Regions from separate parts of the Mus musculus genome. Here regions 1, 2 and 4 are each reported to be linked to region 3. The links are microRNA targets in miRTarBase. Many come from high-throughput screens and were not tested one by one. Region 3 holds a microRNA gene; each other region holds the end of a gene's coding sequence.
What was found. The annotated mature microRNA mmu-miR-124-3p reads UAAGGCACGCGGUGAAUGCC and lies in region 3 at 2,630-2,649, opposite strand. An mRNA with a match to its seed (bases 2 to 7 or 8) in the 3' UTR can be bound and repressed. Matches are read on the target gene's strand: a 7mer-m8 pairs with bases 2 to 8, a 7mer-A1 pairs with bases 2 to 7 and ends in A, and an 8mer does both.

Region 1: miRTarBase lists Arpc3 as a target of mmu-miR-124-3p. The part of its 3' UTR that is shown has no 7-base or 8-base seed match.
Region 2: miRTarBase lists Dyrk2 as a target of mmu-miR-124-3p. The part of its 3' UTR that is shown has no 7-base or 8-base seed match.
Region 4: the mRNA of Vmac is a reported target of mmu-miR-124-3p. Seed matches in the 3' UTR shown: 7mer-A1 at 2,190-2,196.

The regions. Positions count from the first base shown.
Region 1 is chr5:122,404,466-122,411,582 of GRCm38, reverse strand. It overlaps Arpc3 (actin related protein 2/3 complex, subunit 3), which reads right to left. Exons shown (of 7, transcript NM_019824.4): 6 at 6,405-6,499; 7 at 5,402-5,714. The coding sequence ends at 5,652. Among named protein-coding and RNA genes, the nearest start is that of Anapc7, 14 kb to the left of the region's middle.
Region 2 is chr10:118,853,795-118,860,911 of GRCm38, forward strand. Dyrk2 (dual-specificity tyrosine-(Y)-phosphorylation regulated kinase 2) reads right to left here. Exons shown (of 3, transcript NM_001014390.2): 3 at 5,555-7,117. The coding sequence ends at 5,758. Among named protein-coding and RNA genes, the nearest start is that of Gm40776, 8.6 kb to the left of the region's middle.
Region 3 is chr14:64,586,241-64,593,357 of GRCm38, reverse strand. Mir124a-1 (microRNA 124a-1) reads right to left here and starts at 2,701; the gene lies at 2,617-2,701. It overlaps Mir124a-1hg (Mir124-1 host gene (non-protein coding)), which reads right to left and starts at 5,243. Exons shown (of 4, transcript NR_040709.1): 1 at 5,204-5,243; 2 at 4,391-4,581; 3 at 3,399-3,517; 4 at 1-3,085. Mir3078 (microRNA 3078) reads right to left here and starts at 2,173; the gene lies at 2,087-2,173.
Region 4 is chr17:56,709,472-56,716,588 of GRCm38, reverse strand. It overlaps Vmac (vimentin-type intermediate filament associated coiled-coil protein), which reads left to right. Exons shown (of 2, transcript NM_178926.3): 2 at 772-2,657. The coding sequence ends at 1,105. Ranbp3 (RAN binding protein 3) reads right to left here. Exons shown (of 17, transcript NM_001252466.1): 15 at 6,359-6,501; 16 at 5,812-5,998; 17 at 4,820-5,733. The coding sequence ends at 5,690. It also overlaps the pseudogene Ccpn-ps. Among named protein-coding and RNA genes, the nearest start is that of Vmac, 3.9 kb to the left of the region's middle.

The DNA of each region.
Region 1 (7,117 bases), not on the chromosome of region 3:
CCTTCCTTTCTCTCTCTCTCTCTCTCTCTCTCTCTCTCTCTCTTTGAAACAGGATCTCAAGCTGTAACCCCAGTTTCCTTCCTTCCTTCCTTTTTTCTTTTTTCTTTTTTTTTGGGGGGGGGTTTCAAGACAGGGTTTCTCTGTGTAGCCTTGGCTGTCCTGGAACTCACTCTGTAGACCAGGCTGGCCTCGAACTCAGAAATCCACCTGCCTCTGCCTCCCAAGTGCTGGGATTAAAGGTGTGTGCCACCACTGCCCGGCCCAATTGGGGGGATACTCCAGCCTTACATCCTTCCTCTGTCAGCTTGTGAGGAAAAGATTCCCAGAAGACCATGGGGCAGGAAGAAAAAAAAAACGTACATACAGGTTTATGTGCTTCTGTGTCTGTGTGTGCGAGTGAAAGCCGGAGGTCAGCCATGGCTGTGTGAACGCTGGAGGTCAGCCATGGCTGTGATTGGGAATATGCTCGTAGTGACAAAGAAAGGAGCAGCACTCTACTCAAGTGTCAGGACAAGACAAAGTTTATTGTTGATCAGAAAAGCAAGCACACAAGACAAAGTGCACTTGGCTTTTATTCTAACTGATGTGAAAATCGTGCCTCTTCTTCATTCTCTGGGCTCCACCTCACAGTGTTATTCAGTTGGCTAGTCTTAGAAGAATTAGCTCGCTGGAATTAAGAAATAAGGAAGGGAAAGACATCATTGCTCCAGGACATCAAATCCCTGGACAGGAGCAGTGACCTCTGAGAAAACAAGGGTTTTAATGGTGGTGGCAGGCATGCGTGTGCATGTGTGTGTGCGCGCGCGTGTGTTATGGCATTTACATAAAAGGTAGGGGAGACAAAGGATTCTTTTTTAATTTACTTTATTTCATGGTGTTTTGTCTGCATGTATGTCTTCTCTTCCCCCAATAAACTTTCTTTATACTAGACTTATCTATGGTGTGATTGTTCAAGGGATGCCTCAGCGTGGGCCCGCTGAGGTACTCCACCCCAACCTCCCACCCCCACCCCGCCAAAATTATACTGCGTTATAAAGGGTAACCGAGGACACAGGTTCAGTTTCCAGCACCCTCACAGTGGCTCAGGAGTGTCTGGAACTCCAATTCCAGGGAATCTGATGCCCTCTTCTGGTCTCTTTGGGCACTGCAATGGCATGGTGTATAGACGTTCATGCAGGCAAAACGTTCACACAACAACCAATAAATAAATAAATAAATAAATATTTACAAATAAAACCAACCTGGAAACAGTCAGCTGCCAACTGTTTTGAATCAAACTTAAATAAATAAACCCAGTTTTGCACAGTCTTGCCTTTGTCCTCAACAGCACAACACAAAAGATAGGTGTAGAACCACGGCTCTTTCTGAGCTCCCTTCTGGCCAGTCCCAAGGGCAAGCCACCTATGGGATGGCCTGGGAGGGCAGAAGTGTTCTCTGCTGGGCAGCATCTCTCGAGCCACTTCCCACTTCCGGCCAAGAGCAGAGACACAGGCCACACCCTTGGGGCGGAGCCTGTGCGGCACCCAATGTGGAATGGGGCAGACAGCACAGGTCCAAGGAGGTCTTCACGTGGCCACACCTTGGCCAATTTCCAGACTCAAAGGACAAAACTAGGGGCACAGAAGCCTGGGGTTTCTGTAGCTGTGGCCAAATACAATCCCAACATAGACACTGTAACAACTGCCAAAAAAGCCAGCGTGGCAGAGGGGCCACAAAGAGGGCAGCGAAGGCACTTTCCGGAATGTCTGCCGACCCATGGAGTACTGGGAAATACAGACCACACAGCGTTTTGCAGCCACTCACCTGCTTCTGTCAGCCGCATAAGGGGTCTTTCCTTAAAGTTGGGTCATGCTGGGTGGGGTGCACATCTGCCACCTGTGAGACATCTTGTGGGCCGGGCAGTGGTGGCACACACCTTTAAAACCAGCACTTGGGAAGCAGAGGCAGGTGGATTTCTGAGTTCGAGGCCAGCCTGGTCTACAGAGTGAGTTCCAAGGATAGTCAGGTAGTCAGGGCTACACAGAGAAACCCTGTCTCGAAAACAAAAAACAAAAAAACAAACAAACAAAAAAAGACATCTTGTGGGACCCAATTCTCTCTTGCCAAATTCAGGTTGCCAGGGTCATTTAGGTGGCTGAAGAATGGCAGACATGAGTTTGAGGTCAGCCTGGCCTACACAGTTAACTGCAGGACAGCCAGGGGTACCTAGCAAGATCCTGTACACACACATAAAAAGAAAGCAATTCTGGTTTTTTTTTTTTTCAATTTTATTTTTAGTGTATTGGTGCTTTGCCTGCATATATTTCTGTGTACTACATGCACGCCTGTTAACAACAGAGGACCAGAAAAGGGCATCAAATCTGAAACTGGAGTTACAGATGGTTGTGAGCCACCACGTGGTTGCTGGGAATTGAACTCAGGTCCTCTGGAAGAGCAGCCAGTGCTCTTAACTGATAAGCAATCTCTCCAGTCTCTTTTATTTTCTTAAGATTATCTGGGGATCTCTGAGTTTCAGGACAACCAGGGGTATGTTTGTGTGTGTGTGTGTGTGTGTATGTGTGTGTGTGTGTGTGTGTGTGTGTGTGTGTGTGTGTGTGTGTGTAGTATCTATTACTGTGGAAGATGGGGATGTGACATATGACAGCAGTCAGGGGACAACATTGGGGGTTGGGTCTCCTTCTGGCAATGGTTCTGAAGACTAAATTTAGGCTTTTGTGTAGCAGATCTATTCCCCATCAAGTTGTCTCACCAACCCAAGAAAACCTTCCAAATGATAAAACTGATCAAACTTCTCTTTTTCTTGAGACAGGGTCTTGTTATGTGCCTAAGAGGGCCTGGAACCCACTCTATAAGTCTAGATTGGCTTCAAATTTATAATCCTCCTGCCTTACACTCCTGGGTGCTGGGATTACAGGTGTGTACCACTCTGCTGGCTTAAATTGGCCAAATACAGAACTGATTTCAATGTTACATGAGTCAGCGATCTAGACTCTTGAAATAAAGCTATACATTTTGAGACAGGGTCTCTCTATGTAGCCCTGGCTGGCCTGGAGCTTACTATGTAGACCAGGCTAACCTGTAATTCAAAAATCCACTCTGCCTCTGGATACTGAGATAAAAGGTCATTGGACCATCATACCAGGCTTTGGTCAACTGATTTTTGATAAGGAAGCCAAGATCATTTAATAAAGTCATTTTGATGAATGCTGCTGAGATAATTAGTCATACACAGAGAACAAAGTATCTAACCTCTCTTCACATACAAAAACTAACACAATGTGGGGATAGAGGGATGGCTCAACCCAAGAGAGCTCGTTGCTCTTGCAGAGAACCCAAGTTCAGTTCCCATTGATGCCATCTTCTGGTCTCCCCAGGCAACTGTATCCACATGCACTTCATATATATAATAATTTAATAAGCTGGGTTAAAGAACTATATGTAAGAGCTAGTGGCTGGAGAGATGGCTCAGTATTTAAGAGCACCAACTGCTCTTCCAGAGGTCCTGAGTTCAATTCTCAGCAACCACATGGTGGCTCATAACCATCTGTAATGGGATCCTTCTGGCATGTATGAAGAGAGCAATAGTGTATTCATATACATAAAATAAATAAATCTTTAAAAACTCAGCACAAGTAACTAGAGAAACAAGACAAATGGAACTTGAACCAAAGTTCAAAACTACTGAGCGCAACAGGACTCTACGTGCAAAATCCACAAAATGTGAGAAAGGCTTTGCAAATGACGTGAGAGAGTCTAGCAGCCAGAATATATAAAGAGCCCTTATAATTCAACAACAAATGTAGCAGTAGTACAACTTGGTCTTCATGCGGGTCTCCCAACAACTGGAGTGGGAGCTGTCCCTGACACTGTTGCCTGCCTATGGATCTTGTTCCCCTAACTGGGCTGCCTCAGTGGGAGATGATGTGCCTAGTTCTACAGAGACTTGATGTCCCAAGGTGGGTTGGTACCTAGCAGGTCCTCTTCCTTCTCAGAGAAGGGGACTGTTTGTATGGGGAACTGGGAGGTGAGGGGGTCTGCAATCAGGATGTAAAACGAATAAACAAATAAATTAATGGGAAAAAAATTCAACAACAAAAAGGAAAATGGCTTAAGCCACTTGAAAAATGGTTGAATCACTAGGCATAGTGGCACACACCTCTAATCCCAACACTTGGGAGGCAGAGGCAGGCAGATCTCTGCGAGTTCAAGGCCAGCCTGGTCTATAGAGTGAGTTCCAGGACAGCCAGGGCTGGCTGCACAGAGCGACCCTGTCTTGAAACTTCCTCACCCTTCCCCAGAAAAGAAAGAAAAATGGACAAAGTCTAAACAGTTGTGTGGAGAAGGTGTGTAAGTGGCCACATCAAAGCAGCTCACCATCTTCAAGAGAAATACAGACCAAGGCACAATGAGATTCCACGTCACAGCCCCTGGGAGAGCAATGGAATGTGTTGGTGAAACATGGAAGAAAACAGAGCAGTCACATGTCACTGTGGGAATATGGAACAGCACAAGTGTGGGGGGAAAAAACCACGCAGGCCTTCTCCAGTTCCCGTGTGACTCAAGAGGTCCTACCCTGAGGGCTATGATAAGCAAGAAAAATGAAAACTTGTGTCCACATTAGAAATGTGTACATGGCTGTTCTTGACAACAGTGTTTAGTCAGAGCTCCAAGACAGAAACAACACAAATATCCATTGGATGATGATGAACAGACACGTGATCTGTGTCCAAATGGAATATTACTCAGCCATAAAAAAGGAACGGACAGAGCATGGATGCACCACCATGGGTGGGTGTTGATGATGTTGTGCCACGTGAAAAGCCAGGTATGAACGGATAATTATTGTTTGATTCCACTTACATGAGCGATGGGGAGCTGGGGGGATGGGCTTAGCAACACGCTAATTAAACAAAGCCAGACTGGAAGGCTGACTTATCCACTATAGAACTCATATGATCACATGAAGTATCTAGAATAAACAAGTCTATGAAGATAGAGCATAGACTAGTCCAGAAGTTGGGGGTGGGGGTAGGAGGCTTATCAGCAAAGGAGGGAAATCACTGCTAAAGGCACATCTTTTGGGGGTAATAAAAGCGTTGTAGAATTAGATGTACGTCATGGTTATGAAACTGTACATACATACTCACAACCACCAAACTGTTCATTATTTGAAAGGATTTGATGGAGCCCAGCGTAGTGGAGAACTCCTGCAATCCCAGGACAGGGAGTCAAGGTGGGAGGACTTAGGTTTAAGACCCACTTGGGAGACAAAACGAGCTACAGGCCAGTCTGGGCTACACAGTGAGGCTGGCTCAAAAACGACAAACCAAACCAAACCATAAATAGAAAACCAAGCCCTATCCCTCAATATACCACCCTTTCCCATACACGGTACAGTGTGTGTAAGCTTTTTCTCAAAAATGTTTTAATTCAATGTCTAACATAAGCAGTGACATTTATTATATATTAAGTACCAGCTTAAAACTGCCAAAAATCGAAATCACCCGACACCCACCCTCCCAATTCTTGACCAAGAGCTTTTCCAGCAAAGACAGGCTCTCTTCTCTCCTTGATACGGTAGGTATGAACAGACACATCGGCCTGTGTGTCCTATGATGTGTCTCCACGTGATGGTGCTGCCCAGGCTCCTCTCACTGCCCAGGCCCCGAAAGACTCTTGTTCATGAACTGTCTCTTCACAAAGCAAGTCCACCACTGTCAAAGGCACAAGACAGAGCATATGCTCAGGGTCAGGGCACAGTGCAAGTGTGGGCGCGGGCCAGCATTCCAGCCTCTCTCTATGACAAACAACAGTGTAAACAGCAGACACCTCCCACTGAACTCAAAGGTGACCCCACAGAGCAGGGAGACGCGTCCACCTGGCCCTCCCCAGGCGTGAGGCTCGTATCACATCCACCCACGGGCAGGAAGGCATGTGAGGCAGACGCGGTAGCATGCCTGTGTACTGCAGAACTAGAGGCAGAGGCAGAAGGAGCTAAGGTCACCTGTGGCCACACAGTTAGCTCAAGTCCAGCCTGGGCCATTGTTCACCCCCCCCCCCACCCCAACCAAGGGGCCCTGACACGCACTGTATACACGCATGCATGCACATACACGCACACACACACAGATTGCTCCCTGTGACTGTTCTGTACCTGATGCAACAGAGCCACCATTTCCATTTTACATGGCATTTACATCACATACAGATGCCATGCCATTTCACAGCAGGGACCAACAGCCACAGACTGTGGACATATGGCTACACAGCCCATACATAAACGATAGCCGTGGTCTTCCAGAGCAGGCAGAAATGATCGCTCTCGACAGCAGACTTCAGCGGTTTAGAAGGCCACGGGCCAGAGGCTCCAGCTCCAATTAAACAGGCAGAAGGGGACATCTCACCTTGCTGGGTTTATCACTCTGAGGGTCAAAAACCTTCTCACACAGCCTCAGTCCGGTCTCTTGCCTCAGCTGCTGGAGGTACGCCCGCATCATCTCTGCAATACAGGAAATCTGTGTGTGAGGAGGCCCTAACCATGGCCTGTCTGACACTGACCTTGGTGAAGTATTTGCACACATTCAGACAGCTTAGGACAAGAAAGAATGGCCTAGATGGTCTTGGTCCTCTTGGTCGTCTTGGTCTCTCTCTTTCTCTCTCTCTCTCTTCCTCTGTGTGCGCGCACGCATACGCGCACTTACAGGAGTGTGGTTTTCTCCTTCCACTGTGTGTGTGGGTCCCAGGAATCAAGCCCAGACCGTCAGGCTTGTCAGCGGCTGCCTTTACCAGCTGAGCCACCTTGCTGACACAGAATGGTTTCATAACTACGTTCATTTTGGTAGTAGTTCAACAATCTCTGCATGTTCGTTACACTTGTTCCCAAGCTCTCTTGTGACAGTTAAGGCAACACGCGTGTGCTGAGCACCCCGCTGTCAATCTGAGCACCAGCCAGTGGGCCGGGGAGATGGTTCAGAGGAGAAAGAGCCTGCCGTGCACGAGAACCAGAGAAACAATCCTCAGCATCCACATACAAGTACAGTGGGCACGGTGGCTGGCCTGCCTGCAGCGCCAGCCCTTAGGAGGGGCAGGGCCGGGGGATCCCGGGAGCAAGCTGGCC
Region 2 (7,117 bases), not on the chromosome of region 3:
GGTAGAGCTAAAGAGACTAAAATGTTCTAGTCTTCAATATTTTTGTGGTGTCTCCATTGAAAAGATAGCCTCAGACATTGGTGGCTAGCAAACCTCTCTTCTTCCCAGTCTTCTCCCCTCTGTTTTTACAAAGCCTCTTTGGTATCATTCATTTCATTTTCTTCAGCATCAGCTGGGGATAATTATAGCTCAGAGGAGTGCGTAAGGATGAAGGATGCTCCTGTGACACTGTGGGATCTGCAGGGAGCTTTCTCCCCTTTGTGGGGAGAGCTGCTCCTACATGCTGCCAAACGCAATACAATCACACCTCTTCCAGTCCTTACCACAGCCAGCTAACACTTCAGAAGAACCACCACTCATTCTTGATTTACTAAACTTCCGAGACTCAGAAAAATCGGCCATTCCCGTCTCCCTCGCAGTTAATGAGGATGCAACCACGGCCGATCCGTTAAGTCGAAGAGGAAAGCAAATAAACCAAGCACTTGGCATGAAGACGCGATTCTCTCATGCACACACAGCACAGTGGTCAGATTTTCTTTGGGGAGGGGCTTCTGTCAGTGGTGACAAGTGTTTATTTGTGTTAAGTCTGAAGGAAAAGAGGTGTAATTCAAACTAGAAGAAACAGGTGAGACAAAGCAAAGCCACAGATACCCGTGGTTTCGGGTCTCTTCTAAAGCCCTTCCTTAACAGAACAGTAAGCGAAGCCAGCGCTAACAAGGGGCATTCTCTAAGGCTGGTTTGAAAGCAGCATTGAAGTTCCTTATTTCTGAATTCTTATTTGTATACTTGCTGGTTCCAAAAAGGTAACCAGTTCTAGAGACTCAAACAGAATATAGCCTTAATTGACTTCAGAACAAACTTAGATTTGGTAAGAGTGGTGGTAACTGGTCTTTACTGAGTCAGACCTGGGTGCCGTGGGCCTGCTTGGGTTTTCATATACATCATGTTCATTGGTTTTGCTCTCGTTTGGTGGATTCTGTGGTTGACTGGTTCTGTGTGTTGCGCTTTTACACCGGATGTGGAATAAGCAGCAAGCAAGATAAATCTGAAGACCTTTGTACTGGGCTTAGGAATCGCATGCTCCCTTCCTTTGGCACATGCTACTGACTGTGGATAAGGCACCGGAAGCCGCTTGCTTGTTGCCATTGGCAAGTAAGCCAGAAATCGGTGTTCAGTGTGATAACTCGACACATCTTGAGTTAGATGTTCAGTGTGTTAACTCAACACATCTTGAGTTAGATGCAGCTCACAAGCCTTATTTCCTGGCCCAAGCATGTCAGGAGACACCAAAACCCCAAAATGTGAGCCAGGGAAAATCATAAAATTAGCAAAAGCATGCACATTTCTGAAAGCCTGGGGTAGATAGGAGAGCATCTTCAGATAACGGACCTGAAGGGTCCACAGGGAAGAGTGAGGAATATCAGGAAAGACCTGAGCACCCTGCTCCCCTCCAGCCTGAAGGATAAAAGGATTCGAAGCTCTAGTATAGGATATGGGATGTAGCAGATACCATATAAAGAAAAATTAACATGAAATTACCAAAGAGAAATAGAAGTATCTAAAGAGCTCTGATTTAGTAGGGGGGGGGGGTTCTTCCTAAAACCTCATAAAACCAACAAGAACAAAAAAAAAACAAAAAAAAGAAAAGAAAAACCCTCAGAATCTGCATATTTCTAGTGAAGAAATAACACAAGGTTTTAAGGACGCAAGCCACCTGCCATGCAAAAGAGTCTCCCCAGGTTTAACAAACCAGGAAGAATCATACGAGAAATAGGGTGAGATTCCAGTTAGAAAAAGGGGTGAGATGTAAGGTAGGACATTAAAATTTTATTCTGAAATTATCTCTGGCCACAACAATAAAATTTAACAAATAATTCACTAAACAGTCTTACTTCTGCTCTGGCTGTACAATGCATACAGTATCATAGAACTGGTCGCTAGGGTTCAGACCCACTACAACACTTCCCATGTCAAGTGGCAACAGCAGCATCTCACAGAAATCTGTACATACATATATACACAGTCCACATTCAACCATTTCACATATTTTCAGTACACACAGTTGCAGCATTAATACAGTCACGTGTCTAAGGTGTTGCTCGATAAAAAACCCAAGCCCCCGCCTAGACATAACTGCAGCAGTTGAGCTGATATAATTACAATGTATCGTATATATGTCCATAGCAGAGAGATGTACAAGCCCCTAAAAACAGAGTCCACAAATACTTTTTTTTTAATGCTACCACAGCATTATGTTGGGCAATATTAAAACCTTTACCAACCGAATCCGTTGATTTTTTTTATTATTATTTTTTATTTTAAAAAAAATCTTCTGTTACCAGAAATAGTCTTGATGAAAAAAATTACAAAAAATGAATGTTCTCTTTTAAAATAATTCGCGCTTTTAAGATTCCAATATGGCCCAATGCTACTGATGCCTAAAGTGTTTTCTGACATTCTGATGGAGTCGTCTAACAGGACCCCACACCGCCCAGTAAGTTTAAAAGTGGCTTAAGTGTCATGCACCCAAATTGTAAAAATCCCTGGCCATCCTTACTGGAGCCAGGCACATAAAAAAAAGGAATGCACTTTGGTTCATACCAAATGCCCTGGGATTAACCAATCACACTATAAAATTAAATGGTTTGAGGTAAATTTTTACAAATACAGTTGATTTTTTTTTGTCTAGTGTTAGCATAACAACAAAAAAGTTATCGTTAAAAAATCAGTCTGATGTTAAGATACAACAAAGACCATCTTTAACCTCTTAAACGTGGGAATTCCTGGCGTAACTAACCAATAGTTATCTTGCTCAGCATCCAGTGACAATTCACGCCTTATGGTTTCTATTAAGGCCTATAAATCTAGATATTTAAGACAGATGTTATCTCCGCAGAGGTGGCATCCCTCTTTACTACCTCTCATTCAAAGAGTTAAAGAGGCCAAAAATGCATGCCCTGTAACATGGCATTCAGAACAAAAGGCACATTATTAACACTAAGGGCACAATTTCTCCTCTACGATGTTAATCTATGCTGCCCTGCGTCCCTCCGTGTTCCACGGTTGTGCTAAGAACACTCTGGTAGTGCAAGAAACAGAGCCAAGTGAGACTGCAACCAAAGACAAGACTACACTGTGCTATTCCTAAATCTGAAAACAGCTGAGACATCCCTAGACAATGGTAACCTGTGAGACCTGTTTCCAAGCCAACTCCTAGTCGCTATCAGAGCCCTTTACTTAGGTGAAGATCATGAAGAGGCAACAGTTTCATTTTAGACACAATAGTTAAATAAGATTCTCCTCAAAGCAGCGGTATCAGTAAATGCTGACACGGTTTTTGTGAATAAAGGAAATTTCACTGTAGTCCCGGGAGGAGGGTGGGGGGAGAGAAGGAAACAAAAGCCTTGTAGCACATGATGGTTCCATATATGGGTAAAGCTCCTCACAAAAGTTCCGCTGGCATCTACGAAGAACCAGTTTTGTGTGGTGGGGGAAAGGCAAACCATCTTAGTCCACTTCTAAACTGTTGCAAGTACAGTGAGGTTCTAGGGGAGTGAGTAACCTTAGACTCAGGCTCAGGCAGCAACCAAGTGAGAACAGAAGAAGGGAGCCTGGCGGGGAGGGGAAATAGTGTCCATTTTTAAAAATTTATTTTAATGACCTAAAGACAATAACCATCGTTAAGAGGCTCATAGCTTTATAAAGTCCCCAGACCGACTCTTTATACTTCTTATGCCTTTAAGCCAAAGTTTTAAAAATAAATACAGCATTTTTAAGCCCTCTAAGCCACTGATTGGGGGTGCTGTCACATGGGCATCTTTATGTAACTTATTGACATATTATTGCACTTCACAGATTACACAGAACTGTGTATAGTATGCTAAAGAGTTTGACTAGGGGAAATAAGCTATAATTGCTAAGTACAGGGGTACAAATTAATTTATCAATGACATCCTTAAATAGTAAAGCAAACATCGATATTACTAACTTATTAATAAGCTAATCTTATTACTGATTTTTGGCAAATATTTGAAATAATTCCTGAGCATATTTTTCCACCATCAACTGGCAAAGCCTCAAGATAAGAAAAATGTTTTATTCAAAATGACACTTTCTATTTTTTTCTTTTTTTTTCTTTTTTTTTTAAGTAAGAGAAAACATAGAATTAAAAAAACTTAACCGGAAACTTTCTTGGCCTCGCTGGGGACCGTGCTTTAAGTACTTGTAAATCGATTTACAGGCAATACAATAATATCTGTGCATATAAAAGATTATTTATCCTAATTTTTACTATCCAAAACCTATTGTCCAAACAGGCAGAAATCTTTCTCTATTAAATTGCACATACTAAAAAATTCTTTCCACGTGCCTTGAAATTGATATATATCACTGTTCATACATTAGTGATAAAATACTGAAATTTTCACTGTGAAAATAATTATTATTCAGAGAAGAAAATATTCTTTTACCTAACTCTCAGTTACTCTCTCAGGTAAAGCGTCATTCCCCACAAAAACACTCAGTGCGATTCAAAAGAAAAAGTCAACTCAACAGAGGAATAGTGTTTTTCCTGGGGCTCTTCTAGTGAATCAGAGAATAAGTCAGGCCATTTAACTTGACATTGGAATTTCTCCTCCCTTTGCAACCCCTATTCTTTCTAACGAAAGAGTTGATGCTTCCCCAGGCTAAGGGAACCTCTGTGGCACCTGCAGTGTGAACTGACTCCAGTCTAGGCGGCTAACTCTTCTTTGGAACTACGCAAATCCCCACCTCAGGTAGCTAGGCCGATGTTCTTTTGGGGTACAAAACTGTAGACAGAATGGCAGCTGAAATGTCTCTCTGTGTTATTGGTCTGGGATGGACAAAAAAGACAGACTAAACGCAGGCAACAGATGTGTGTGGTGGAAGAGGAGCGAACAAGAGAAAAGGCAGCAGGGAACACTGTGGGGGAGGGGGAGTCCTTAAAATTAGGTGCAAAAGCAATTCCGTAACCAGAAGGCTTCCTGATTATGACAGCCCGCCATCATCCTAGTGCCTCGGGAGGAACGGACACATCTCAGTTTCCACTTATCCACTAAATGCGGCTCGGTGGCTTAAGCACATCAGAATGTTAAGTGGGCAGTTGAAAGCGGGCAATCCTATTTTGTAATCATTTGAACAGACCGTGAGGAAAAAAAGAAAATCTCGAAAGTGCAGTTTTCCTTAGAGATTTTTCACCCCGGCCCCCCTTCTCCCTCCTCCACTCTGACCCAGATTAATTTATGAAAAATGGAGGCAAGGCGGGCTGCTTCCGTGTGAACCTGGAGCCAGGAGAGAGGAGGGGGGCCTCAGGGGACCACCTCCCTGGGGAGTGGGACGAAAACCACGAAAACAGAGTGAATGTGTTTGACCAATCTGTAAATGTGTGACAGTCATGAAGAATCAATGGCCTGCCACCAATGTGATTTCTCTGCCACACTAAATACAGTAAGGCTCATCGTACTTTTAGAAACACAAGGAAGGAAAACAAACAAAAAAACAAAAACCAAAAACAAAAACAGTTTCAGAAAGTATAAAAACTTAAAGCATTGTCCCCATGTATTTTATAAAAACAAAACAGTCTTACATCAAGTGCTGAAAAGATACAAATGAGTCGAGTTATTGAGCAAATAAAAACAGGTCTGAGCTACACTTTTTCAACCCAGTAAGGCTCAGCTATAACGCGGTTCTCTCTCTCTCTCTCTCTCTTCAGATTGCCAGCATCAGGGGGACTGGAGCTCAGCTAACGAGTTTCGGCAACACTGTCCTCTGCTGAATATTCCCATTGGCATCTGTCATCTGTGCCAAGTTAGTCCTCAGCTTGGAAGCTGAACTGGAGGGTGGAGGTAACTTGGAAATGGAGGTGATAGCACCAGTACTCTCTGTGACCCTCTTCACCGCTGTCTTCTCTCCGGTCGGAGGCTTTGGCAAGCGCCTCCTAAGCCACGGGTGCCGCAAAGCCTGGCCCGGGGTCATGCGGACCGCGGGATCCCACTCCAAACACTGTTTTAAGAAGTCAAGGAAAAGAGGGTCATCGCATCCCTTCAGTGCGTTCCCCCACTCTCTGCTCTCTGGCGGACCCCTTAGTTTCCCTCTCCGGGATCGGCCCCCGTTGAGGACCACAGAGCCATCTGAAAGAGTCGTAACTGTGCAGTATCGGGGGTAACCCTTGGAGCTCACGAAATTTTTGGCTCGTTTGGAAGCATCCAGGAGTTTCTGAGAGGGCATGCCCAAAAGCTCGATCATACAAGCCAGCTGGTCCCCTTCATCCTCCCCAGGCAAGAGGGGGTAACCCGTCAGGAGTTCCGCGAGGATGCAACCCAGGCTCCACATGTCTATGGGCATGCCATACCTGGCTCCGAGGATCACTTCCGGAGCCCGGTAAAAGCGTGACTGGATGTACGTGTAGACGCGTTGGTGCTCGTAACAACTGGAGCCAAAGTCAATCACTTTAATACTGCTTCGACCCTGCTGCTTTAACAAAATGTTCTCGGGCTTAAGGTCACAGTGGATTATTCTGTTCTTGTGCAAAGCATCCAAGCACTGCAGAATGGAGTGGGCAAACTTGCGCACCAGAGGCAGGCTGAAGCCCTGGAACTTATTCTTCTTGATGAGCTCATAGAGGTTCATGCTCAGCAACTCGAACGTCATGCAGATGTGGTTGCGGAAGGTGAAGTTCTCCAGCATGTGGATGACGTTCATAGTGTTGTCCTTGTCCTGCTTCCGTAGGTGTTCCAAGATCCGGATCTCCTCGGCCGCCTGCCTGTGGAAGCGCTTCTCGTTCCGCACCATCTTCAGGGCCACGTGCTGGTGGACTTTGTGGTCATAGGCCTTGACCACCTGCCCAAAGCTCCCCTTCCCGATGACCTTGAGGACCTCGTACCTGTAAGCCACGTGATCATGGGGCACCTGCACGTACGATCCCTGGTCGTCGTCATAACCACCATTGTTGGGTCCACCGGTCATGCCTTGGCGTTTCTTTGCATTTGGACCCAAGAAGTATATTTCAGGGTAGCTAAAAATCTCATGGTGTTCGAAGGCTGTGAGTTTTTGCATGTATTGCTTCATCGCTTGTTCGGGCGTCATGGGGGAGGCTTTT
Region 3 (7,117 bases):
TAAACCCAAGGGGAAAAAGAAAACATATACAGCCATCAAACTATGGCAGCCTCATCCTACTGTTAGATCGCAAGTTCCTCCCTTCATTTTCGCCATAAGATGTAATTAGAAGGTTCAAATAGGCAGGGGAGATGATGCTGAGAATCCAGGAGGTGCCTTGAGAGAGCAGAAGGCTTCTCTGCATAATTATTGATGGGCAGAGAAGGGCAGCGAATGTAGAGGAAGGAGGTGGCTCAGGCTGACCTTGGCTCTGATTCTTCATTTGGTGGAAACAAAAGGGGTTTGCACTTATACCTGGGGCTGAGCAGGTCATTAGAGTCCTACATACAAACCCCTTCTGGGAAGGGGATCTGGTAGACACATACGAACACTGGTTCACATAGACTGGCCAGTCCAGAACACTCCCACACGCCAATAACACACGAATAATACTTTCTGGAACAAGAGTTTTACGTAAGCAATAAAATAACAATGCACCCCTCCCAACTCAGATCCTCCGTAGCAGATCCCAGGCAGGCCTTATGGATGGTGCCTGCGGTTTGCGCTCTCAGAGCAAAAGCATATTGGGTTTCTACCTAAAAGGACTTTACTTGGGGAAGCATCTGGGGGTTACGTAAGATGAAATATCGGTGAAGGACGAGGGGACATTTGAAAGAATCATGGGGAAGCAATTACTGAGTAGAGGATTGCTAATGGGGATATTTGTGGTCCAGGGGGGTTGGGCCATCATCTGCTTAGGCCATTGCTTGAAGGCAAAATAACATCTCAATGAGCACGGGGGGGGGGGGGCAAATGGGTGTACCCCCAAAATGGTACAGCACACTAGCCGTTCTCTTCTAACCCATTTGTGAAGTGAGGGAGCACCCCAGGAAAGGGCCAATTTTTATTTCAAGGGAGGTAGATTTTCTCGAAGCAATGGCTATGGCGTCTCTTAGGACAGCCATTGTGGCTGGGTCTTTCCCTTTCTGCCTTGAAAGCAGTCTGGCTTGTCCGGTAGGACTCAGCCAGAGACACCCTCAGGGTGTGGGCACTGCAGCTTTCTGCCTGCAAGAGTAAGCAGGCGGTGGCTTATTTCTGCAGAGCGGGAGAAGGTTCTGGGAATGCCTAGGTGGAATGTGGTAAATTGAAGCTCAGCCTGGCTAGCTCTAACATTCTCTTCTGTGAGGAAATTTAGAAGTTGAAATCATCGTAAAGAAGGACACATAGTAGATACTCAAGAAATAATGAATACTCTTGAGGAAACTAGGCCAGAGAGGTACTGATCTATGATATACCCTCAAATACTAATTTACTAGACTAGATGAGGCTGAGGCTTTTTGAGACAAGAGTCCTCCATTAACTTCAACGGATGCTCTTTTAGACCCTGATTACTGTGTTAGGAATCAGATTAAACTCCTAAACATCCTTCATGGGCTTGGCCTTGCAAAGGCAGGCCTCTGGCATGACAGCAGGGGGGAGGGCTACAGCCTGCTTCCTGGGGGTGGGTTGTGGGGGGGGGGAGGAGGCCAGCTCTTGGCCTCCTTTCCCTCCCTCTGCTGCTGGGTCCTGCCCCTCCTCCATTTACTCCACCTGAAAATTAATGAGTTTAGGTCGGCCACCAGGCCATCATCCATCCACTGCAGGTTGGCGGAACACTGAGATGGAGACGGGATGGAACTGTGTCGGGGGCCTCCAGGACCAGCTGCTGCTGTTGGGGGCTGATTTGGGAAGCAGGTGCTTCAGGATGAGGGAGGATTAACCCTTTCTGTTCCTGGACAGCCTGCTTCAAAACAGACTTTCCTTAGGCCTCCACCTTACTCATGCTGATTTTCCTTCTGTCTTGGGGTTTTAAGAGCGATGGGGAGAGGCCCACACTCTGGGGGCTGGGGGTGGGCTGCGCCTCCTTTTCCTGTAGCTTCTGGATTTCTGCCTGAAACTTCAGCCACAGCCCCAAGGAGGCTGGGAGGCCCTGCTTTAGAGCAGTGGGCTAGCTGTCAGTTTTGATGGAGTCTGTGCGCTGTCCATGAACAAATTTGCCGATCGCCTTCGCTCACTCCAGAGATCTGTTTAAGCTTGTCAAATGCCCACAGCTCTCCACCAACGGGTGACAAACAGCTTCCCCTAAAGACTACCCCAGCAACCCCAAGCACAATACAAGGTAGCTGCAGTCTAGGCTTTGGGGCAGTCTGCCAGTCGCATGGGTACTTGGTTATTATTATTTGTTTAAGGGTAATAAATTGAAATCCGGAACTAAGACAGGTAGGGATGAAGGTGTCGGCCTTCTACAATGGGCAGGGTCCCAGAGCTGAGGGGCACATTTTACTCTCCAGCCGTCCCCAGGCTATTTTCTGCCGCCGCCGCCGCCGCCGCCACCACCACCACCACCCCCCCGCTTGCATAGATCCGTGTTTCTGTCACAGAATGAGTTGTTTGCTTCCTAGATTCTATTTGCATCTGCACAAACCCCTCTCTGTCGGTAGCTGCACACCTCCCCACCCTAAGGGCTACTTTGCGAGGCACTCAGAAGCCTGCTACCCGTACTGTGGGCGCCTGCAGCTGCAGCGCTGAGATCTGCCCAGGGCGTTGTGCTGGGTCGATCCTTCCGTGGCAGGCCCTCGTGGACCCAAGGTGCTCAGACAGCCCCATTCTTGGCATTCACCGCGTGCCTTAATTGTATGGACATTTAAATCAAGGTCCGCTGTGAACACGGAGAGAGAGGCCTTTCTCCTGAGGAAGGAAGAAGGAAGGAAGGAAAGAAAGAAGGAAGGAAGGAAAGAAAGAAGGAAGGATGGAAAGGAAGGAAGGATGGAAGAGAGGGAGGATGGGAGAAAGGAAGGGAGGAAGAAAGGAAGGAAAGGTGGAAAGAAAGGGAGGGGATGGGGAGAAGATGAGATGAAAAAAATGAGAGATGAGAAAGAAAAAGCTGGCGACGCGTGCGTGTGCGTGCGCACTGACAGCAGGGAGGGTGTGGGGTTGGGGAACGCGATGAGCTAAGGACCACCGCATCCTTCCTACCGCAGCTCCCCCAGTCACAGACAATGAGATAACAGCCACGTCCTCCGTAGGCTCTTTGTTCTCCCGCATCCTTTCGTTTCCAAGCTTTTTCCTGCAAAGGGGAGGGGGGTGGAGGGTTCGGGATGTGGGTGGAAGTGGGAGACGGAGGGGTGCCTCCCCCGTGTTAATTACCCCGACTCCCTCACTCCTCTCCTCGCGCTTCGCCTCCCCTGCAGTTCCAGACAATGAAAAAACATCAACCCCACCTCGCCCCACCGCAGCGAATCCTACCCACCCAGTTCGCTCTCAGCTTCGCCTAGGAAACTGAGGGGGGCCAGGAGGAGGGAGATGACGGAGAGGAAAGGGATGGGAAGCAGGGGCCCAGCTACTGCTGCCTGGGCAGGGCTTGTGACCGCCGCCTTTACCTTGAGTGTAGGGTCCGGGTGTAGCCTGGCCGGGCGTGCCGCAGGGCAGAGCTGCTGCGGTCCCTTACCAGGATCTGTGGGAATCAGCCTTCCGGAACTCTCCTGCTGCGGTCCTCTCGCTTAGGTCCCAAGTGGTGGATGGGAAAAAGGAAAAGAAAAAAAAAATAAATAAATAAGAGCGAGGCCCATCTGGCCCCTCATCAGCCTTGTCAAGTCTTGCATACGCTAAAATGCTAATGACCTAGATAGCTCATGCAAAATGCAGCAGGGAGGGACAGAGAAGGAGGGGGAGCGAAGGGAGAGCGAGAGAGGGAGGAGTGAAGGGAGAGGGAGGGGGAGACAGAGGGAGGAGGGAGACTGGGAGGGGGGAGGGGGAAAAGAGAGAGAGAGAGAGCGCGCACCCCTACATGTTCCCCCACCCCACCCGTCAACCGGTTTTACAGAGGTAAAGGGTGGGTGTAGATTTTAAAAGGTCACCCCTATAGAATGTAGCTGGGTGGGGTGGGGGAGAGATCCCCAAATCCATAGGGACAATAAAATATTATTTTAAGACCCCTCCCTCTCTGCTCTCCATCACTCTGTTTACACACAAGTCCAGTCACCTTATGCATGTACATGTCAATTTCACAAGACTGCTTTCAACAGACACCCACGTTGCCATTCCCTGAACAAACCCACCCAGTGCACCAGAGTGAGGAAGGTGCTTCCTAACCCACAGACCTCCCTCACCTGGTCCATCCCACTCCCTACTAGTGCCTTATCCTTTCAGGCAGTCGTCCCCCCCCCCCCTTTCTCTTTTCTAAGCCTTCCCCATTCTCCTTCCCAATGGCTCAAAAAAGCCAGGTAGAGGGCATAGAGGACAAGTTAAATCTAACTGGATCGGTTCCGTTCAGCTTCCCACCCACCCCACAGGGTTGGGGGACACAGTCTTTACCTAACACTGACCCTTTTAAAGCATGCCACAAAAATCAATAAAATTGAGTCCGAATAACCTCAGAGGTCCGCAGGTCCGGCCGGGTACTGTTGGGCAGCGTTGATCTCTCCAATCGGGGAGCCAGAGTTCCGCGCGTCCCAAGACGCTTTGTCCCGGAACCCCCGCACAATATCCTCATCTTTTTGTTCTCCTTTAAAGGATCCTGGTTGCAGTCCGCCGCGTTTCAGCCAGTCCAAACCAAAGGCGGATCTATTGGAATAAAAAGGGATGGGGATAATATACACGCAGATGGATGCGGGAGAGTAGTGGAGGCTAAAGTCAGCCCCGCAAGCAAGGAGCGGCCTCCCTGGCCAAGCCCCAAGTGCTTCCTCGGCTATTGAAGGGAATTGCTGCTGGCAGGCGCTGATGCTGGCTCCACCTGGCCGGAGGAAAAGCATCCTGGCGATGACCCTGAAAGAATTAAGACACAAAACCAAAAAAAAAAAAAAAAAAAAAAAAAAAAAAACCCCAAACCGAACCAAACCACCAAAACAAAAAAGCAAAAAGCCAGAATCCTCCTCTGGTGAACCAGAGCACGCGTGCAGAAGAAACCGCTCTGCTGGTGGCCGCGGTCGAGGGGGAAGGATGCTAGCGCAGGAGGCGAAGGTTGCAGAGGCTGCACCCTCAGATGAATAATAATAACGCGCTGAGAAGTTGCAGTGCAGCTTGGAAATCCAGCCCTGCGCGTGAACTCGCGTCGAGTGCGGATTGCAGGGGATGGGGGAGAAAGGGGGGGGGGTGAGGAGAGAAGAGAGGGGGAGGGGGTGAGGGGATTGAGAGGAAGACAGAGAGAGGGACGCAGAGAATTTAGTGCCTTTTCTTTTAGTCTTACCAAGAGCTGATCTCCTTCACTGTCCTCGTTGGGTGAGGCCGAGGTCCTTTTTAAAAATTATTATTCCTTTAACGGATTATTCAGCTAAGAGAAGCCACATCTGCTGACAGTTCCGAAAACAAGAGGATTAGGAGTAGGTCCACAGAGCCCGGCCCGCAGCCCCCCCCCCCCCCCTCTGCACCAGCACACGTCACTCTCACTGCCCCCGGGCACCTCCCTCTCCTCGCTCGGTGTTCGGGAGGGTTGTGCCAAGAAAAATGCGGATTTGGGGAAAGTGAGAAGTGGGGGTGCTCTCACGAACGGGAAAGCCAAGGCCGGAGGTGGCGATTCGCACCCCCACACTTACACTCGCTTCCGTTTATCCGTTTAGATCCTGGGAGAAGTGGGTGCTTTCACCGCACCCACACGCGCCGCATCTGCAGTGGTCAGAGCCCTCCGATCCCTTGAAGCCACCCTGGCCGCCCCAGACCCTGCCAAAGTCCTCTGGGTGGACTCGGGGGGCTCAATCCTACCCCTGCCTGAATAGCTTCATGGTCTCCAGTCCTCTTTTTCTCAGTCCCCTCCGTGCAATACCGCCGCTAGCCCACTCCCGGTTTCTTGAGCTTCGGTCAATGGAGTGGGGAGCTCGGGGGCACTTGCACACCTTCTGCTTGTCGTCCTCAGCCCGAATTGCCGGGCTGTAGCTCAGCCAGGCTGGTGAGGATGGAGCTGGGTGCTGCTGCGGTTGTGGTTGCTGTCACTGCGGAGAGCGCGAGGCTGCGGGGCGGTGCGGCGACCCGAGCGCCAGTGCAGCCTCCTCCTCACCCCTCCCTAGGCTGGCGTCTGGGCAGGACAGTGCTGGGGGTGGGAAGACGAATGGCGGAAGGTGGGGGGATGGAGGACCATAGTCTCTTGTCGCCCCCACCAACGCCCCCCCCCCCGCAGTCAAGGTGAAAGTGAAGGAGAGCGGGCGCGCGTGCTCGCGCCTCTAGTTGCGTGCGCGCGCTCCTCCCCTGCCCGCGCCCTCCCGCCCGCCCTCGCCCGCCGGGGCCAGATGGACGTCCGAGATTACAGAGGCACAAAAGTGCGTCTACACGTCCAGCCACCCGTCCTGCGGACGTGGAGAGCCACTTCGGGGAGGCGCCTTTTGTTGTACTTGTGTGGCTGTGTAACTGTTTTTCTTTTCCAAGAGCAGAGTTAGCTGTGGCTTAAAGAAGGACCAAGAATGAATGTCCCCCATAAGAGCGAACCAAAAAGACCTTCCCCCACTCGAGCCCCCGCGCCTGCGATGAGAAATCTGTCTTCCCAAAGGGCTATTGCGGCAGCCGCGAGGCAGCCCCGACCTGCTCACGCAGGCCCATCTGCTTTCCCTACGCCTGCTTTTCTTTGATGACTTAAAAGAAACAAATAAACAAACAAACAAAAAAAACTGAACTGTTTCTTGGGCTATGTTGAATTCAAGACATCTAGACAGGGGAGAACAAACTCGGAAAGCTAAAAGCAGTCTTAAATGTTGTGGCTGTCAATGGCCAGTGCAGAGGGTGGTGGCCGCGGCGCCCACCTAGCCCTGATGGACCTCCGGGGATGCCCCCTGGATGGAAGGCCATTTCTGTTTCTGTCAATTGTTAGGTAAGGACCCCAACAGAAGAACGGCTGTAACAAAACCTCCCCCATGTGCTGTTTTTTGCTTCAACACTGTGTGGCTAGAAGCTTAGGAAATAAGCTGTTTTTGTAAATTTCTAGAATTGAGAATCTTAGGAGGGGTGGGTAAGAACTAGAAAACATCCTTGTGACGGATTTTAATTAAAAAAATGTAACTAGTTGGCAAAGGCCCCTCGCTAGGCAATCTTTCTGGGAGCACTGACCACTTTCATAATAGTCCCCACTAAATCGCTGGTCTCTCTCTGCGGTGACTTGGTCTTACTTACCACCATT
Region 4 (7,117 bases), not on the chromosome of region 3:
TGGAAAGGGCTGGGAACCGAGAGCAAAAATTTCCGGAGCACTAAATGCCCGGCATCACAGCACTAGGAGGGCTGAGACTGGAGGATCAGGAGTTCGGGCCATCCTCGACTACATGGGGACTTTAGAGTATAGCCTGGGTTACTTGAGAGCATTTCAAACTGTTAAAATGAAGCCAGCTGTCCCACCCACAAGGCCGAGTCTGCCGGTAGGTGCAAGAGTATTGTGTCTGATGATCGAAGGAAGCTGCTGGGTAGGGGCCCACATCGGTAGACAAAGGCACAGAACACCCCTATATAGAATAGTCAGATCTGTGACAACCATTTGTGACCATGCGGAAGTCCTACCGAAGGACACACAAAACTGGCACTGTTTTGTTTTTTGAGAGAAGGCTGGCCTTAAAGGCACTATGTAGCTTTCAACCCCTGATCCTTCTGCCTCCATCTCTCGAGTGCTGGGATGACAGAGCGCCAGGCCTGCTGTGGGGCTGAGGGTGCTTTACCAATGACATCAATGGCTCTGTGTATAAAGACACTCGCCACTAAGAATGACAAAGAATTTGATCCCATGGGGCAGGAGGAGCGAACCAACTCTTGAAAATTGTACCTTGACTTCCACATGTTTGCTGTCACATGTGTGCGCCTATGCACATAAACAAGCACACAAAGAAGTAGTGCAGGAGGAGACATAGGGAGTCTCAGAGGATTCTGGAGCAGGTAGATGCCCCCACCCCCACCCCCTGTAGGTAACTACCTTATTTGGTCCTCTTACCAGGGAGATATCTGCCCTCCAAGAGCAGCTGCTGAGCTCTGAGGCCACAGTTCGCAGCCTGCAGGCCGCAGTGGACCAGAGGGACCAGATGATCCAGCAGCTACAGCCTCGGGCTGACCTGCTGCAGGACATCACTCGCCACCGACCACCCCTGGCCGCACTGTTGGCCACCCTGGAGGAGGCAGAGGAACTGGGCCCCTTGCCGGCCAGCCACAGCCATAGGGCCCAGCTACTTCCTGATGGGCCTGGCCCACCCCTGGGCAACAACATGGGAAAGGAGGAGGGCCAGGACGACCAGGACGACCAGCAGCCTGCTGTGTTTGGGACCACGGTGTGAGCTGTCCTGACAGATCTCAGAATCTGTGGTCACGGCCCCATGGGGATTCCACTCTTAGAGTCCTGGACATCACCTAGAGGGGTCTTGAGACATTACCCGGATCCCATCTAAACATCACAACAAGTGAAAACTCAAGATCTCATTTAAACCCCCCCCCCCCCCCCAGTGCTGGAGTATCTGCTACATTCCACTGGTTTTAAATAGTTTCAAAAACAAATGAAGGTAAGGGTGGTAACTCTGGGAGGAGCATTCTCCACCAGGCATACACAAAGCCCAAGCCAGACAGGCACCCCAGCATCAGTGAGATGGTGGGGACTGACCCTGAAACCTCGGTGTTTCCTGTTTGGGACAGGGTCCCAGGTAGCCAGGCTTGCTGTCTCAGGAGTGTGGCATGGATCCCTGCTAGGCTGACAGGCTCCCACTACAGGCCCTGCCTGTGGGGAGTTTGTCTTTTTGCTTGAGATGGGGTCTCTCTCTATAACCCAGGCTTCCCTTGAATCCTCCTTCCAAGTACTTGGAATCTAGATGTGAGCCACCGTGCCCTGCTGATGGGAGCACTCCCTACCTTTCTTTCTACTCACTCTTGTGCCTCCTGAACCATCCTTAATGCCAAGACAAATCATTAATCTTGGATCTCTCTCCCATAGCTCTACCCTTCTAGGAAGAACAAGTGGGTTGAGACACCACAACCCAGAGTGCCTCAATGTCTTTCCCTGATTCCACACTCAGTTCCTTGACACTCAGGTCTCTCTCAAATGCCCCCTTCTGGAGGGGCCTTCCAACCAGCATCTCTGAAGTCATTCCTGCCAGCTGGTCACTGCCCTGTACTGTGATTGTTTGGTCTAGTTTTTCTGAAGCTTAGTCTTATGTAGCTCAGGCTGGCCTCTAAAATTTTTATGTAGCTCAAGCTGGATTTAAACTTTTGATCCTCCTGCTTCAGCATCTCCAGTGCTAGTATGACAGGCTTTGTGCAAACACCCACAGCCCCATCCTGGGACCACCTTTTCAGTGGGAAGGCAGTGGCTATGAAGCAGGGAATTTTGTCTTCTGTCTCCATCAGTGCCTAGCACAGCCCGGGAGGCCCTGCCTTAGCCAGGAGCCTTCTGGATACCTGATAAGCCCTTTCCTGGTTTCCAGGGACAATGATGTTTTTGTAGCAAGACGCCTTTTTGATACCCTAAGAGAATCTATTTTTTAAATCCTGGTTTCTGTGCTGCCTAGAGCCTATGATGGTGAGGGTGCATTGCCCTTGTTAGAGCAGTGAGAGGAAGGGGCCCCACAAGCCCTTGCACCCAGAGGTGGTGTCTGTTGAATTCCATGACCTGTGCGCTCAGGGAAATTGTCCTTGAGCAGCCACCAAGATAGAAGGTAGGGGGTGTTCGAAACAGAAGGGCCTCCAGCCATCCAGTCTACCCAGAGTCTGACATGGACCCTCAGTGTGGGAGACAGAGGCCCATTTTTTCTTGGGGATGGAGGAAAGAAGGGAGCTATCTGTATAGAAGGCAGACTAGGGCCTGTCTGCACCAGAATAAATTGGCTATTTCTCAACCTGGACTCTACCTTTTTTCCTGTTGTGGGGTAGCACGCTGCTAGGCCTTATACATACTTTACAGCGGAGGGGGCTGGAGTTAGCCAGCTGTCCTGCAGCTTCCATGTTCAAGTTATTCCCAGAGACAATTGAAACTCAGCCCGAAGAAGTGAAGGAAAACTACTTCTCTGCACAACTGAGGCCACTTGCAATTCAGGGGACAAGAGGAATATCGAAACTCATATTACCCAGGCTTTCTAGCCCTCACTAGGGGATTGTAGGTGGAACTCCACGCCCTGACCACACCCCCAGCCCCTCACTGGGGTATGTATCTTGGGTGGGGTCTGTAATGCTAAGCTATCCCTAGCCTTGCATCTTACTGCTAAGACTTGCAATAGCTTGGGCTGTATCTTAGAGCTTGCCAAGGGCTGAGACCATGAAAGGATTCACTGCAGCAACTGTAAGAGTTAATTATGTTTTACATTATAGAAAAGCAATAGTGCCTTGGGTGTGGCGTAACGACATTTGCCTGGCATGCTAAGGCTCTGGGTTCCATTGCCAGCACCAAAATCTGAAAACAATGAGAATTTTCTGCTACTTGCCAATGTTTGGAGCCTAGCAGGCCATCATCTATTTGGGTAGCAAAATGTCACTTCAGCTTCTCATTAACTGAATCATGATGCTGGTTGGCTTGCAACCCCATAATTTTTCTTTCAACATTGAGACAGTTTCACATAGCCTGGAACTCTTGTCCTTCCTCCTGAGTGCTAGGATTATAGCCATATGCCACCAGGTCCCCAGTTTTCAGTTTTTAAAGACAAGGTTTCCATTGGTAGCCCAACTTGGCTTTAGACTTTCAGATATGTCCCCATCTCAAGTGCCACCATGTCCAACTAGCCCTAGACTGGCTTTGGCTAGGCTGTTCCGTGTAGGGACAGTGTAGGCTGAGGGGCACAGGAAACAAGGCCCTTTCTCCAGCCAAGCTTGGAAGTACTGTGGCCAGGGGTGTGCACAGTGGGTCTGGGAGTCACTTCACCCAGTCTCCTTAGCTGGCCAATGTGCTGGCCAATGTGCTTGACATGGGGTCACAGCGAGGGCCCTCCCAGTCCCCAGAATCATACTGCCTAGCAACAGCTGTGCCAGGTAGGACACACAAACCTACCTGGAGCTCCAGAGCAGGATTCAGGGACACAGACAGGCTCTGTCTGGGCTGTACAGTATCACTGAGGTCTGTGCCAGGCTGGCCGAGTACAGAAACTCATTGGGAGTTCCGCCCCACCACAGCTGTTCACCTGTACCCATAATGGACACCGTGAACACCATCATGGAGGGGCCTCAGGCATCCAGGGACTGGCCAGGTGAGCCTTCACCCACAGCAAACCCAGCAGATTCTGGCCTGGGTAGTCACTATCCATCTAACCCCATCTTGATTCTCAGGGTTTTTTTGTCACCTGGACAAGGATGGCAGCCGGCCCCTGGATGAAGGGGAGCTGAGGGAGGGCCTGGCAGAGCTGGGGCTGGAAGTGGACAAGGCAGGGGCATTATGCAGGCGCTGGGACTGTGATGGCAGTGGGACCCTGGACCTGGAGTTCCTATGGGTGCTATGGGTGAGGCTGGCCTGTATTGACGGGCTGGTGATGGGTGCTGACCCCTGTACTCCACAGTCACTGTCCCCCTCCCATAGCCCCCCATGTCCCAGACTCTGGAAGCTGTTACTGCAGCTGCTTTTGCCAACGTGGACCAAACTGGGGATGGTGTGGTGACTGTTGATGACCTGAGAGGGGTGTGCAGTGGGGAGTGGACAGAAGATGCTGCCTCCCCCTAAGGCAGTGTCATTGGTCTGGGTCCCCTCACAGCCAGCACATCCACAGGTCACACTAGCTGAGTTCCAAGACTACTACAGCAGACAGCGCCTGGCACCTCTGACATAGCTACTCTCACCTGCCTAATAGCTGCACTTAGCCTAGTCCCTTGATCCACCTGCCATCCTCTGCCACCACTGTCCCAGGGGGCCCCAGCTAGACACAGGGAGGGGGGGATGTGTGAGAATGGAGGCTGAAGAACTGGCTGGACCAGGTCTCCTGCAGGGCCACCCACAAGCCTAGCAATGGCTGGATTGATTACTGACCCCATCAGGGGCCCATGGCCAAATCCAGCCTGACTGGCTGCCAGGTGCAAAAGAGTCTGGGGCTTTAGTTAAAAGTTTTAATGCAGTTCTCAAATACATTTCAATCTTACATAAATGTTCCAAAACACATGGGTGACGTCTGGATTCACTTGTCACTGGCTGGCTAAGGCTGGAAGCAGTGTGACCCATCTGCTAAGGCAGCCTCTGGTGTCCTTGCTGGCTGGAAGTGGCCTGGCCAGAGATGGAACCACACAGTCCACGGGTAGGGGCTTCATCTTCTGCCCGGGGACAGGCCCTTTGCAGGTTCCCTTTGCCTCTCAGGGGCCCTAGGTGGTCAGTCACCTCAGGGCTGGGTACCTGCTAAGGGAGACCCAGGTGGTTCACGTAGGCAGGCAAGAAGGCAGGAGCTCTCTTGGTTTCATCACCTTTGTCCAGACAGGTGTTCTCAGGCCCAAACCTAGTGAACCCCCGTGGGGGCCGGGCACCACCCATAGGAGCATCAAGTCAGCTCAGCCCACGTGTAGCTTCATCTGTGACCTCAAGAGCCAAGCCACCAGAAATGAAGGAGAGGCACCTGCCATGTGGACCTGGCAGAGTGGAAAGCCGAGCAGGTAGCAAGTTACTCAACAGAATGCTGAGCCTGGAGTTCTCTTTGTTGCTGCCCAGGGATGGACGGTCACCACGAAGCTGTGACAAGTGTCAATGTGCCATTTCGATCGGAGGAGGGCGGGGGAACGTTCTTTCTACTCATCAATATGATGAGGTCTGAGTCCCAAGCCGCATCCTGGCGTCCCCGTCTGCTGCAGAGGGGACACTCGGATCCAGCCTGTGGCCACCCCGGCAATAGACACCACCATGATGCGGCCTGCAGGGAGGGACGGGCAGCAGACAGACAACAAAGCAGCAGCCTGGTGCAGTGGCTCCGCCGCTATGTGCTCCCAGGAGCCTGGCCATCTCCTTCATCACCTGTGCCTGTGGGGAGAGCAGGTCTCTCAGTCCCAGCACACAGTCACCAGCTGGGGTCCCTCCCACTGGTCCCATGGTGCTCACCAGCCCCCGTGACACCGGAGGGAGCCAGAACAGCATCCTCATCACTGTCTTCCTCCTCGGTGGCCCGGGTGGCTCCTGGCTCAGGTGGGGGCGCCTTGGCCTCCTGTTCCTGTTCAGCCCGGCTACGCAGAGCCAGGATGCGGTGGTGCAGTGCAGCATACAGTTGGCCTGTGTCTTTGGAGCTGGCCTGGGGAGGCAGGGTGTTACGTGGCAGTGTGTGGCTAACGGCCACACTGGGCAGTGTTCACACATGTAGGCCCTAGCCTGTGACTAGGCCACACTGGCCTGGTCAGCTGACTTCTATAGCAAGAGACTACCAACAAGGTGCCCTTTGGAGAATTAGGCAGGACAATGAGGTCTGGGATCTGTCGTGTCGTCCCCCCCCAACTCCCTCCCTACCCTTGATGTCTAACCGAGGGGACAGCAGGTGTGTGCACAGCCATCAGGAACTACCCAGGGGAGGTTTGTGTCCGGGCCTGCCCACTGGTAACATCAGCGGTCTTCAGCACCGAGCCAGTGTGCCACCCCCACCTTCCCTCAAGCTTACCGAGATCAGGAAAACCTTGACACCCTGGTCCTCAGCGTCGGTGGCTGTGATGCGGATGCTCTTTTCACTGGCCTTATCCATCTGCATCTGTGCCCACAGCTTCGTGTTCAGGATGAGCCGCAGGCTGCCCTGGGTCCGCATCACTGCAGCAAGGGAGCTGCTTAGCAACACCTGCCCCAACCTGCAGCCCACGTCTGCAAGGGGCAGGGGAGACATGCCCTTGGGGAAGGGGCTAGCCTGCAACAGGGCAGGTAGGGTACACTGAGATAGAGACTGCTCCATCTCACCTGAGAACCGAGCCTGGGCCTAGCACATGTATGGGGCAAGTCCTAACATGCCCCTGGCTTGCCACCTGCTATGGGTCCACAGGGAAGAGGTCACACATAGTAACTGCTGAGCAGGTCCTGTTGACATTGACTTTAACCTTTCTTTTTTTTACTTTTCTTTCCTGATGTGAGGGTCTCAGTAGCCTGAGCTGACCTCAAACTCTTTTCAGTCCTCCTGCCTAAGCTTCCCAATTTCTGGCCTTAACTTTTAAGGGGAATGTAACCAAATGTTAGGACATGACAAAATTAGGACATGACAGGCTCAGAGCAGACCAGGCCAGCCTGGGCTAGAGAGAGACCATTTTCACATAAAGTCCCCCAAACAGGAGGGACAGCTCTGAAGCCTAGGCTGGCACTCTTCCTGCCCCCACCTTCCTTCCAAGCTATACTTTTTAGAAGTCCACTAAAGATACTTGAGCAGGAACCCAGTGTG